3 linked regions of the Danio rerio genome follow. The protein of the gene in region 2 interacts with the protein of the main gene of each other region in a pairwise test. Links are inferred from orthologs where the notes say so. Each region holds a gene or a part of one and is shown on either strand. Other genes may lie near its edges.

Region 1 (4,274 bases), on a different chromosome or scaffold from region 2:
CAAATCTAATCAACTCTTGCTGAAAAAAAGTGTCAGTTTATTTTATTGTTTTAACAGTACTGTATATTTAAATCCATAGTCAGTCTAATGAAGTTTCCCTAATCAAACAAAAAGCACAACACCCACACACGTTCCATTTCTGTGTAAAATAGCTGCCAGTACAGAGAAATGATTATAATCAAACAGATTTGTTTGTCCCTAGAGAGCTGAATAGCGTCTCCTTCCCTTTTTAACCTCCTGCAAGCATCTTCCAACAAATTTAATTACTCCTTTGACATATAATTTCCCATGGCAGCAGCATGTAAAGTGGTTTCGCAGCGCATCACCTGTAAAACTCAAAGGTTTTGGCAAGTGAATCAAGTGGTGACCTCCTATCTCTTGTTTACCTGGTTGCCATGACCTGCTCTGAGAAGTGACCGTCAGTATCGACCTGGCTGTCTTTAATTTGTTTACCTCCTCTTTTTTTAAGCCAGAGACACAGACAGAGAAAGTAAGAAGGACACAGGAAGTCAGAGATACATCAGTGAGAGACAGAAAGCATCCAGCCTGTAATGGGACTCAAGTAAAACATCAGAGGAGTGAACATTTTGGTGAGGATGCTGGAAAGAATTCAGCAACCAATTTTTCAGCTTTTGTTTTTCTAGTAATGATATTCCATGTGTCTTTTACTCTAGCGTTTTGTAATCGAGCATTGTTTCTATTATTAGTGCTTTCAGTTGAGTTTCCTGTCCTGTTGGTTTCCTGTTTTATAGAAAAGCACACCTTTCAGTTGGGTTTATCCTTTCTTACACTGCAAATAATAATGCTTTTTGTCTTGTGTCTAGTCCAAATACCTAACAATTATCTAAAAAAATGATGTAAAAATACTGTTTTTGTGTTGTTTTGTCCCTTAAAAATAATCTGCCAATGAAGTGGGTAAATAAATCTTAATTTCGGGTTGAAATAAGATCATTTTAAAATCATTTTTGTTGTTTGACATAAAATCTCCCTCAATTTTGACATTATTTCTGTTTCAAAGTAAAACAAAACAATTTTTTTTACTTGTCTAGAAAATGCTTCCTGAATGCTCTTCCTTCCAAAAAAAAAAAAAAAAAAAAAAAAAAAAAGCAGCTTCAAGAAGTCAGAAATGTATTTCTTTGCAGTGTAAATGTAATGCATAAGACATTTGGGGAAAGAAGAACAATGAGGGGGAAAAGATGGGATAAAAGAAAGGCAAAAGAATCAAAATGAAAATGTGTTTAAAGAGGGAAAGACAGGAAGAAAGAGAAAGAAAAGCAGCCTCACGTATCTTAGAAAAACATCATACTTTGTCCTCTCAGCCCAAGGAGGACTGTAGGAGAGGAAGGTAGTTTTTTTTTAGGAGGAGTAGGCAGAGCAGCGAGAGAGTGAAGCGGAAGCGAAGCAGAACAAGGGGGAGAGAGTTTGAGAAAGACTGTGGGAGGTGGAAAAAAAGAAGCCTGAGCTTAAAAAAGACAGAAACAGTCTTTTGCTTATGAACAGATAGTACCCTAAGTCATGCTTCCTGCGTGTGTGTTTCCATGGTGATGTCTGGAGGGCAGACCAGCGGAGAGGCTGTTGGTGCCAGGCAGCGACGCAGGACCAGCCCGAGTCCTGAGAGAGAAGCCCTGGAGGAACCTTCCTCGCCACCTGCCGCCCACAAACTCTCACCCATGTACCCTAAGGAGGAGCACAGCGCGGGGGGCATCAGCTCCTCTGTCAACTACCTAGATGGAGCTTATGAGTACCCGAACCCCACACAGACCTTCGGCACCTCGTCGCCTGCAGAGCCTGCTTCAGTGGGATACTACCCGGCTCCCCCAGACCCCCACGAGGAACATCTACAGACGCTTGGCGGTGGATCAAGCAGCCCCCTCATGTTCGCACCCTCCAGCCCACAGCTGTCCCCGTATCTGAGCCATCACGGAGGACACCACACCACCCCTCATCAGGTGTCCTACTACCTGGATTCCTCGTCCAGCACCGTCTACAGGTCAGTGCAGCAGCAAATTTCAGCTCAGGCTTTAATTAAGTAAATGATGAATATGAAATTAGTTAAAACTATTAAATAAAGTTAGAAATATATAATATAATATATAAAAATATATGGCAACACTTTAAAATAATGGTCTTTGAGTTGATGTATTTACTAACATGAACATACAAATAACACTTTTATTTCGGGTAATAATTGATCTTTGTTAATGTTAGTTAATGTTATTTAAGTTAAAGAATGTTCATTTACTGTGCATTAACTAATGTTAATGTTATTAATGTATTAATGTTGAAATATGATTAATTAATGCTTTGCAAAATTATTCATACTTACAGTTTATTATTACAGAATTATCAGCCCCCTTGTTTATTTTTTCCCCCAGTTTCTGTTTAACAGAGAGAATATTTTTTTTCAACACATTTGTAAACATAATAATTTTGATAACTAATTTTAAATAACTGATTTATTTTATCTTTGCCATGATGACAGTAAATATATGACTGGATATTTTTCAAGACACTTCTGTACAGCTTATAGTGACATTTAAAGGCTTAACTAGGTTAATTAGGTGAAATAGGTAGGTTAGGGTAATTAATCAAGTTATTGTATAGGGATGGTTTGTTCTATAGACTACGGACAAAAATATAGCTTAAAGAGACTAATAATTTTGACCCTAAAATGATTTTTTTTAAAAATTAAAAACTGATTTTATTCTTGCTGAAATAAAACAAATAAAACTTTCTCCAGAAGAAAAAAAAAAATATCAGACATACTGTAAAAAAAGCCTTTCTTTGTTAAACATCATTTAGGAAATATTTAATAAAGAAAAAAATTCAAAGGGGGCTAATAATTCTGACTTCAACTGTAGTTGATGTTAGTAAATGCATTAACTAACAATAACTAATGGACCATCATTGTAAAGTGTTAGAAAATAAATATCATTTTTAGGAACTTTAATGATACTGTGGTTATTGTAATTGTGAAATCCAGGCTAAATTATAGTAAATATGACAGGGATCTTTTTACAATATATCATGTCATTCAAAAATATTTAAAAAATGAACCATAGGATCAATTCCCTAAGTTTAACTGCAGTAAATATGACAGGAAATTTATCATGTCATTAAAGTATTGCCATTTTTATGCTTATTTCTTTTTATTATTATTGCTTATAGTCCTGTATGTAATCATTTTAAATTCTTGCATTTATATCTTATACTTACTGTGTGCTTTTTATGATTTTATTTTATTTTATCATTCTTATGTAAAGTGCCTTGAATTGTTTATGAAATGTCCTATTTAAATAAAAAAATGTGCCTTGCTGGAAGGTTAAACTGTAGTAAATATGTCAGTAAAAGAAAACTATTTTAGTTTTTTAAGATTTAAAAAAGAATTTACTTTTTAAAATGATGAAAAGATTATAAATTTACATTAGCATTTTATGTTTATGGCCCTTTTCATGATGAAATTCAAGCTTAATTAAAGTAAATCTGCGTTAAAGTAAACAGCATTAGATGATTGTGGTAAATATAAAACACAATTACTTTTATGAACATTGAAAATGATTCAAAATTACTCTTAGAATTCATTTATATGGTAAAATCCAGCTTAAACTATAGTAAATATGATAGGAAACAACCTATATTAGATGTTTTTAAGGTTATAACACCGATATGAAATTTTGCCAGGTGGTCAGTAAATCAAATGAGGTGATTTTGACCTGATTTATGATTCATTGAGGCATAATGTTTGCTTTAGCACTCCAATCTTGCTTGGATGCCTGCCTTCCGAGGCTCATTTTTCCAAACAACACCTTGCATAAATGAAACCCGGTGAAAGTCTGCTACATTTGATACCTTTTTACAATTTTGTTATTTAAATGTCTGATTTAATAATAATAATTATTATTATAATAATTTGACACTTTCAAAGTTGAACTGTATGGTAAAACCAACATGTTGATCTACTTCCCCGGAAAACATTATTAGGGAGCATTTATGGAATATGTGGAATAAATGATCATGAGAATTAATTGTCTAAAAGTATCACATAATTTGATATTGTGGTTATTTCATCTAGATATGTACAGATCTCAGCATATATGAGTCCACCCCTCAACAATCTCTCTATTCAATTCATATTTTTAATAGGAAGCTTTACAATTTTATATTTGTGCATATATATATATATATATATATATATATATATATATATATATATATATATATATATATACATTAGATTAGTCAGTACTGAAGCCAAATCTGGAGCTTATCTAACA
Region 2 (4,175 bases):
ACTCATAACTAAGTGGGAAGGGGTGCTTCATCACATATCCACAGTCGAAAGAGCAACATTGTCTGAAACGTTTGAACACAAATGAACATCAGTGCAAGAATAACAACAAGTGAGAAAGGGCAGTGTATGTGTGTAAAATGCCGGCAGTCTGCCTTCTTTAAAAAACAAACCATGTAAACATGTCCACACTGGACCTGCGCCCGATTTCTCAGTTCCCCCGTGCCATAATACACACATTTCATAACTTAATGCTTAGGAATTTAAAATGCATCACAGAGCAAACAAGGCTATGAGACGAGATTAGAGAAAACTTACATCCTACGGTCTCACGTCATAACCCTCCTCCGCATAATTGCTCTGTGATCATTCCAAAAGTACAGCGAAATTTTTTAAAAAATGATTCGTCACCCAAAACCTTGATATACGCTAATGCCTTACGCAATGATTTATGGCACTTGTAACCAGATCTGGTCAAGCAAGGTGGGGGCTTTCAACAAAAAGTAGCTGATTACGTCGCTTTGGTAAACATTAAAAATCACACTTAGTTTTCTAAGCTATAACACAAGGGATGCAAAAAGTAAAAGTTTAACGCTGCAATAGAGCTTGAGAACCATAGTGAATTCAACACCTATAGTGCAATGCGCACAGCGCCATTAAAAAAGTACAGGTGTTGAAAGCACAAGGTTCATTGTGCCACCTCATTAAGCTTGAGGTTAGTCATATGACCTTTTCACTTAAGCTTGTACCCCTTCATGTTCTGTTCGCTTAGGTCTCCCTGCAGAACAAAGTCGAGTGGCTTTTACTTCCCAAAAAGCAAAACAAAAAGAGATACCCGGAAATGCAGTACGCACTATTACGCTACAGATGCTGCTGTGCTTAGCACCAAGAAGTTTCTGGCACTCCCAGCTTGATTAAAACTCAAGCCAAAAGTGAGCATCAAACCTCAGCAAGCAAGAAAAACAAAATGCGAGATATATTGGAAAGTAAAAACGATGCGCGAGTTTGTCTTGACATCTATTTCTAGGTCTAGCGGAAGAAGAAAAAAAATCTGACTGTCACAAACAGCCATCAAAAAAAGAACAAAACAAAACAGGAGCATAACAGAGCAATGAGTTTAAGAGGACATCCAGTTCATCATTTGTCATGGCATACAGCTCCCCAAAGACTTCTTGACCGCTTCTTAAGACCACAACAGCGTAATAACTAGTTTCTTTGTTTAAAAAAATATGTTAGATGACGGACATTAGGAGGAACATCTGTCTACCAAATGATCATCACCATCTTATTAAGATGCAGATCTAAAAATAGCTGTAAAATATATTACGCAGCTGGGGCGTTCAAGGAGAAGGCAAAAGGCCAAAGTGAAGCCTTTATCATGTATTGGCTTAAGAGAGCAGCAGTGAGAGACCTTGTTAGGCCTGAACCTTCAGGAGGCTCTTTAACTGAAAGGTCATCAACTCACGATGATCGCCCATGGGAAGAGACACCCAGTGGCTTGGGGGCTTGGGCAGCACACTTGGGGATGGGGGCTCACTAAACTTGGCTCCGGCATAGTTCTGACCACACTGAGCTGATAAAAGTTTGTTCAGATGGGACTCCCAATTCTGATCGTACGGTGTGGCAAAACGAACAGAGCCATTCTTCTTGTCTACAGACACGGCCTGCCGCGCCTCAGGAGACCAAGAATAGCTGGTGCCCTTCTCACCTCTGCGAAGGTGATGGGGCACCCCTAAGGCTCCTGAGGCGGCAGAATGCATCACTCCATTCTGGTCTCTACTTCTCTGTTTGCCCCTGCTAACCGGCTGGCTCTTCTTGGGTGCTGGGCGATCTGGAATGTTGTATCTCTCACCACCTCCCATTATATTTTGACTGGATGTCACCTAGCAGAAGACAAAGGTGTAGATTTGTTATATTAAATAAAACATGCATTTATAGTATCTTCAAAACAGGCTTAAAATAAATAAGTGCCCCAGTGATGCAGGCTGACATAAACAAAGGGCTACGTGCAAAACGAGCCCGTCCCCGCCCATCCCCCACTCGCTTCCTCTTCTTACCTCTCTGTTGTAAAAAAGTTGAGTGCGTGGTTCTTTTCACTTTTTAATTTTTCCTCGCCAATTGGGCTCCAGGTCCTCGAAGTAGTTGATCTACTTCTCGCTGCACATGTATGTCCAGCAAGATCTGAGGTTTTCATGTGCCAGTGAGCGTTGTTTTGTCGTGGAACCGAGTTGAACATGAATTCACCTCGGCGCACGGTGCTCTAGAAGCCGTAGATCTAACAAAACAAACATTTATAAGCATCTCAATCTACTAAATATACATTCGTTTATGACTAAAAACGTATTTAAACTAATATCAAATCCCAGTCAAACCATTTCTTTGTGTAAATGTAAACATATATTGCAACAAAACATGGACTAGTAAACCTTCTTGTTTATAATTGTTATTTACTAGTCTAAAAAACAAACGGCTAATTTAAATGGCAAATATATTACAAATCACCGATTTGTTATTACATAAACAGCATTCAATCTTCCTCCTTCGCGATCGACGTCTTCATACTAGCGATTATTTTCGACAAAAAAGCCAAGGTTTTTAGTAAACTCGAATGTACACATTATTATTGCAATGTTTTATAATAAAAGCTCGATTTTAAATGATAAAAACAAGAGTATTAGGTCATCTTTTCTGGCCGCGTATCAAAACAAAGGCTCTTCAACGCAACATGGCGTCAACACAGTCGACGACTCCCTATACCTTTGACTGTGGAAAAACAACTTACCGACTTCCTCAGGAATTTGATGGAACAAGCCCTTCGTATTCCCTTGGTCTCGTCTGTCAGCTGTAGCTGTAAATGGAGAAAATATTTCCCGATATGTGAAGCTCAGTAAAAAACCGAGGCTACAGCGGAATGATGATGTTCTCCTTCTCCAGTTCGTCTCCGTCTAACAACAAAATGGACCCTCAACAAAGCATAAGTAGTTCAGACGTGTTGTGCTGCGGCCAATCAGGAAGCAGCACTGTGGACGCGCGGCCAATAGGAGCGAAGAACACGCCTGTTGCCATCGTTCCTGCGTCACCGATCGTTATGCGTGTTTGTGGGGAATTTTGGTTACTGTAATAACTCGAAGGCATAAAAATTATTATCACATGGTTTCTTCCGGTTGGTGTAATCTCAAAAAATGCACACATTTAAACCTGGTGATCGGTGTCCTTGGCACATCTTCGAGTAAAAGCACAACACTCGTAGAAGTGTGTGCTTTATGTAAACTTCAGCTGAACAAAGACAGAATACTCACAGGCTTCAGATATCTTAAGGGACACAGATACTTTGTACATAATACTTCAGATAGCTCTTAATACTGAAGTGAGTGCTTATGTTAACATCTGGTGAACAATGAAAGAATATTTACAGGCTTTTGATAGATATCTTAAAAGGACTTCACATAGGCCTACTTATTAAACAAAGAAGAACAACATGGTTGTTTGAGCAAAACCATAGGAATCACATTTTTTTTGCTATACCAACCATATTTATGAGTTTAACCATATGTTTGAACATGTTCTGATGTAAACCTGGGGTTAAACAAATAGTATTCAATCAGATATAAAGTAATTCAGTGTAATAAATGATTATTCATACAATATGTTGATGATCATATAAAACTAAAAAAAGTACAAAACACTTTTATTTAATCCTTGATTATTTTGTGTAATGGTTAATAATACGTCAAAATGTGAAATGCAGTATATACTAATAACCTAACAAAAATAGTAGATAGGAGCCTTGATGATTAATGTGATACAGGAAATACTTAGTCTTTTAAACTGAGACGAAACATGACGCATCCTGCTTGCATGTGACAACAGGTATAGATAAAAACTGTGAAGTGGTATCTGCTACCAATAATAATAGGAGGGAAAGTGTTTGAAAGGCTACAGACGAAGGTGTTGTTTTGGGGTGTAGTGTCTTAAATCAATGAATGGATTATAGGAGGCAAATGGGCCATTTGGTGTTTCTGAACCAAAGTGTCATGCTTTATGGCACTATAAGTCTGAGAATGTTTTAAGTCTAACAGCAGTGAGAAGTTACATAAACATTCAGTTTAGGCCTAATTAAAAATTATCAACTTGATGTTTTGCTTCTAGAACTTTGCTGTTAAGAATGTCCCAAATGA
Region 3 (4,284 bases), on a different chromosome or scaffold from region 2:
GAAATTGGGGAAAAAATAAACAGGGAGGCTAATAATTTAGGGGGGCTAATAATTCTTCAACTGAATATGCACAAATATAATGTTGTATAGCTTTCTATTAAAAATATGAATTTAAAAGATAGATTAGTGAGGGTGTATATACTCAGCACTGAGCACTGTATATTAAAATAATAATGCACATTCTCAAACGTTAAACTCTTAACCAATAAAATATGCTAAGTACAAATCCAAGCCCAGTCTGTCACTTTAAAAAAGAGAGATTGTAATACAGAGCTCACATCTCATCATCTCTGAATCTGTGAGTGTGTATAAGAGCACAAAGGGTTATGGAAAATGCCACTGACTCTCCATGTGTCATGAAGCTAGAGAGGCAGGTGGACAGGTAGACCAGACTTACCTAAACCTAAACAAAGACCTGCAGGTCACAATTCACCTCTGAGTGAACTTTTGATCACCTGGTGACCACTAACACAACCCCTGATCCAACCGATCCCTCATCCCTGAGAGCACTGGCATAGATTAAACTGTTATAGTGTGTTCTTGAGCATTGTGAAGCAGTGTGAGGGGGAAATGGGAATGATATGTGCTTATATTTAAAACAGCACACAAACAGAAGTCTGGCACCCAATAAAAGCATTTCAACAGCTCTTTGGCAATGTAATAAGAATTAGTTGCCAGATATAGTAATTTAATATAACACATTTAGAGTTTGGAAAGGATTATGGCAGTGCTAAAACTATCAGTGTATGGAGAGAATTACTTTAGAACAGTCATTAGAGCACAAACACGTGCACGCACACATACACACACACATGCACACGTCTTGGTCTGAAACAGACACTCACACACACACGCACTCATGCAATTAACATAGGGCCCGTCTGGGACCTCCACACTGATGAAATATTTCAGAGTTAATCAGACTTTGTAAACACTGATTTGTATTGACTTCTCTTCTGTGAACTGATGTTTCCTCATTAAAAAGCAGATTAGCAGCGTGAGCAGGGGGGCTAAATGCTCAAGACTGCTAATTCAACAGGAAACAGTATTTAAAGTATGCATGTCCATTAAACTGAGCTCCAATATTCATTAGTCAGGTAATCTCCAGAATCCATTAGGGTGTTCGGATTGGGAAGAATCTGTGAATGTGGAATGGGGATGTGTGTGGAGATGCAAGGCAATTCTCATGAGGCCTCAAGTGGGTTGAGTAGTCTTAACCAGCTGGGAATATTTTAAGGGAGGAAAAAATCCTTGCCAATCTAATATAGGTGCTTTCCTCCCAGTAGACGAATGCCAATGGCTGGAGCGCTGTGTCCAGGTTATCAACACATTGGAAAGGAGGTTGTGTGTTTATGTGTGTGTGTGTGTGTGTGTTTCCGCTGACAGAATAGAGTGATGTGATTTGAGTTAGGTGGCAGTCGATTAGTGCAATGTCCATTGTCTATCACTCAAGCGTTAGGCGAAAGGTTTCAAACAAGATATAAAATGTCCCAGGTGCTTTCTTTTGCTGCCTGTCTTCATACTAAACGCTACACTTCCATCATTCATCAGTCGCAGTCAAATGCCAATGGAGCTCATTACCAGAGCATGGCCACAACATGACCTTGGACTGACCTAATGGAAGTGGGAAAAGATTTGGGAATGTTGTGGGCTTTCTGAGGTTGAATTTTTGGTGTGTCCCCCAGTATTTCGCCACTGCCTGGCTTCGAGTGCCTCAATTGGGAGGTGATAGATGCAAGTTGTCAGGTGGCATTGGAGGAGTGCCACTGCAATGCCAGCTGCCGGTGAGTTGAGTGGCCGTGGCACCCATGCCGTTGCCTGTCCCAACGCCCCAAGCCGAACCACAGTCCTGACGCCTCTGTTTCCCTGAACTCCCCAACCCAGCTCCTTCGCTCAAAAACCAGCCAGTCTGAAAGTCAATATATGTCCAGCTGGATGGCATGCTTTTGGAAATCACCTAGAGTTTTATTGGCTAATGGGATGAAACATACCGATATGTCAAATTCCCATCTTCCAGGCTTCTGGATTATGCTCAGGTAAAGCATAATATTTGACCCAATTTTTAGCACCTACTTTGTTTTTCAGAGCTTCACTGCCACTTATAGAAACTAGAGGAGAATTTACATTCTGTTTTTTTCAATTAGCACTCACCTCTGGTTTAGAATGACTGATCAAGTTTGTTAATCTAAAGCAGAAAGACAGGAAATCTTTATTGCTTTGCAGCAAATACCAGCGACTAATAAGCCAGAGCATTACCTCCCTCTGGCTTTACACATCTACTGGACGGAAAGCAGCTTAGGCGGTGTAAAGCCAGGGGATACTGGATGTATGGAATTGCTTTGCACTGATTCTAGGTATTGCACTTTGACTAAGTCCCTCTAACTCTTTAACCTGCCACCTAAACCTAGACAAAGTTCTAGCTGAGGGAGGGTAAAAGCCAACCTTGAATGGTCCTCTTGAAAAAGGCCTTGCAGGCCTCGCAGGAGGCAACGCCATAGTGGTAACCAGAAGCGATGTCCCCGCACACCAGGCACAGGCGCTTGGGCATGGAGTTCAGCATGTACTCGCATTTAATCTGTGAGTCCTCCGTGATGGTGCTGGAACAGTCCTCATAACGCTTGGCACCAGTTCCGCTGGGACCCAGAGCGCCTGTTGGGCCATAAAGAGTGGGTGAGTCCAGGCCGTTCTGATGGCCGTTCATGGTGGAGCTGTAGCTACCGCTGGCGTCTGAGGAGCCGCCGGGGCTGTGGTGATTTACGCTGTCCGTTAGTGAGGCGGGGCTGGAAGGTTCCGTCTTTATGTAGGAGGGGCAACTCGACTCAATGTGGCGGTCCTTGTTGGACATTCTGCAGAGCAGCCTAAAAATGTGAAACAAATTTGAAGTGTTAGTGAATATGACTAACAATGAAAACATCTTTATGAAAAGACTAAAGAAAGAACTGCCAGAAATTACATGCAATTTTCTTGTCAGTCCATTAAAAACAGCATTCATTAAATGATACCAATAAGACTTCTGATATACTGTGCAACACTAGAAAAGACCAACATTAGATGCGTTAAATGGCATTATTCTGGTGTTTTCATATTAGTCCGAGATGATCTTTTGAGGTGGCACAACTTACAAATGTCACCAAAACAAAGCCATTAAGAAATACAAAAGAAATAGAAACATAGAACCCTGCCCCCCTAGCCCTTCATCCTGCACATGGGTCCATCTCCACCTCAGCCGGAGAGAACAGAGCATTCGGCAGCTAAAAAAAGCCCCTGATTGTGAATTCAGAATTCTAGTTTTTTAGCATGTTAATGACTTCTCTGAGAGGAAACATAAGAGGAGAGGCATATGAGAGCCAGTGTGCCACGGTCCCCTGGGTCTCACTAAAGTGTCTGAGTGGTTGTATATCTACACGGCTGTAAAGAGGAGAGCTAACATCGCTACGCCAGCCCAGTGTGCAGCCAATTGAGTTCTAAAGAAATGTGGCACAACAAATCCAGTCATGTCCTAATGGTTTTAGTCCTTGATATTTATACACTCGGATCGTTCGGATTCATTTGACATGGTGAGGAATTACTTGAAATTATTTATTGTAGAGCTAGAGAGCATGAGCCAAAGCCTGTCATTTCTCCAGCACCAAAATTGTCCATCTACGCACACCAAAAAAAAGTGCTAAAGGCTTTTTTTTTTGTGATTGTGGATCAAGAGGTGGGATCAGGTGATCAAATGCACCATGACAGATGAGCGTCTGCAGGGCGGAAGGGAGAGGGACAGTACTGAGAGCTCAGTGCCATCACTCACTTTCCAGTCAATATCAACTTGTTCTACATGACTCTAATCAGTGCGGAGGCGCAAAGCACTTCCATCATCCTCGCCTGTGGCCAGTCGCCATACACGCTCACATGCATCGATGGAGGAAAAAAATAAAAATAAAAAATCAACAATACAGACACAAACACACAGTATCAGTCCAGTAACCCAAACAGACAGCCACACCGTCAAAAGCAGAGAGTCTTCAAAGGCAAACAAAAGAGCGGGCCGAACACACCCCACCCACCCTGCGTCGCTCGATACCACCAACCCATTTACTTGAAGCCCCCTCCACCCACACAGCCCTGGGAGAGAGGCCTATTAATGAGTGCTGTAATTAATAGATATCTCTGCTCTGTCTTACAGGAGGCTTCAAGGCCTGCAAGAGTGGATTAACTGTTTCCCCTGTCAACAATCCAGAAGACCCTGAGCTGGGTCCTGCAGGGCGTAGAGGGGGTGGAGGGCGGCACTTCACCACAGCT

The links.
Region 1: the proteins of pnrc2 (region 2) and esr1 interact in a two-hybrid assay, tested with the Homo sapiens proteins (2 studies listed by BioGRID and IntAct). The link is inferred for Danio rerio from reciprocal best matches to the Homo sapiens genes PNRC2 and ESR1.
Region 3: the proteins of pnrc2 (region 2) and esrrga interact in binary tests that used the Homo sapiens proteins (3 or more experiments, as listed by UniProt). The link is inferred for Danio rerio from reciprocal best matches to the Homo sapiens genes PNRC2 and ESRRG.

What each region holds. Positions count from the first base shown.
Region 1 is NC_133195.1:29,094,146-29,098,419, reverse strand, and holds the start of esr1 (estrogen receptor), read left to right. Parts: upstream 1-1,474; 5' UTR 1,475-1,538; coding exon 1,539-1,990; intron 1,991-4,274.
Region 2 is NC_133191.1:36,325,954-36,330,128, forward strand, and holds the start of pnrc2 (proline-rich nuclear receptor coactivator 2), read right to left. Parts: upstream 2,967-4,175; 5' UTR 2,780-2,966; intron 2,273-2,779; 5' UTR 2,055-2,272; intron 1,881-2,054; 5' UTR 1,860-1,880; coding exon 1,413-1,859; 3' UTR 1-1,412. UniProt on the Homo sapiens protein: Involved in nonsense-mediated mRNA decay (NMD) by acting as a bridge between the mRNA decapping complex and the NMD machinery. May act by targeting the NMD machinery to the P-body and recruiting the decapping machinery to aberrant mRNAs.
Region 3 is NC_133192.1:31,323,661-31,327,944, forward strand, and holds the start of esrrga (estrogen-related receptor gamma a), read right to left. Parts: upstream 2,846-4,284; coding exon 2,443-2,845; intron 1-2,442. UniProt on the Homo sapiens protein: Orphan receptor that acts as a transcription activator in the absence of bound ligand. Binds specifically to an estrogen response element and activates reporter genes controlled by estrogen response elements.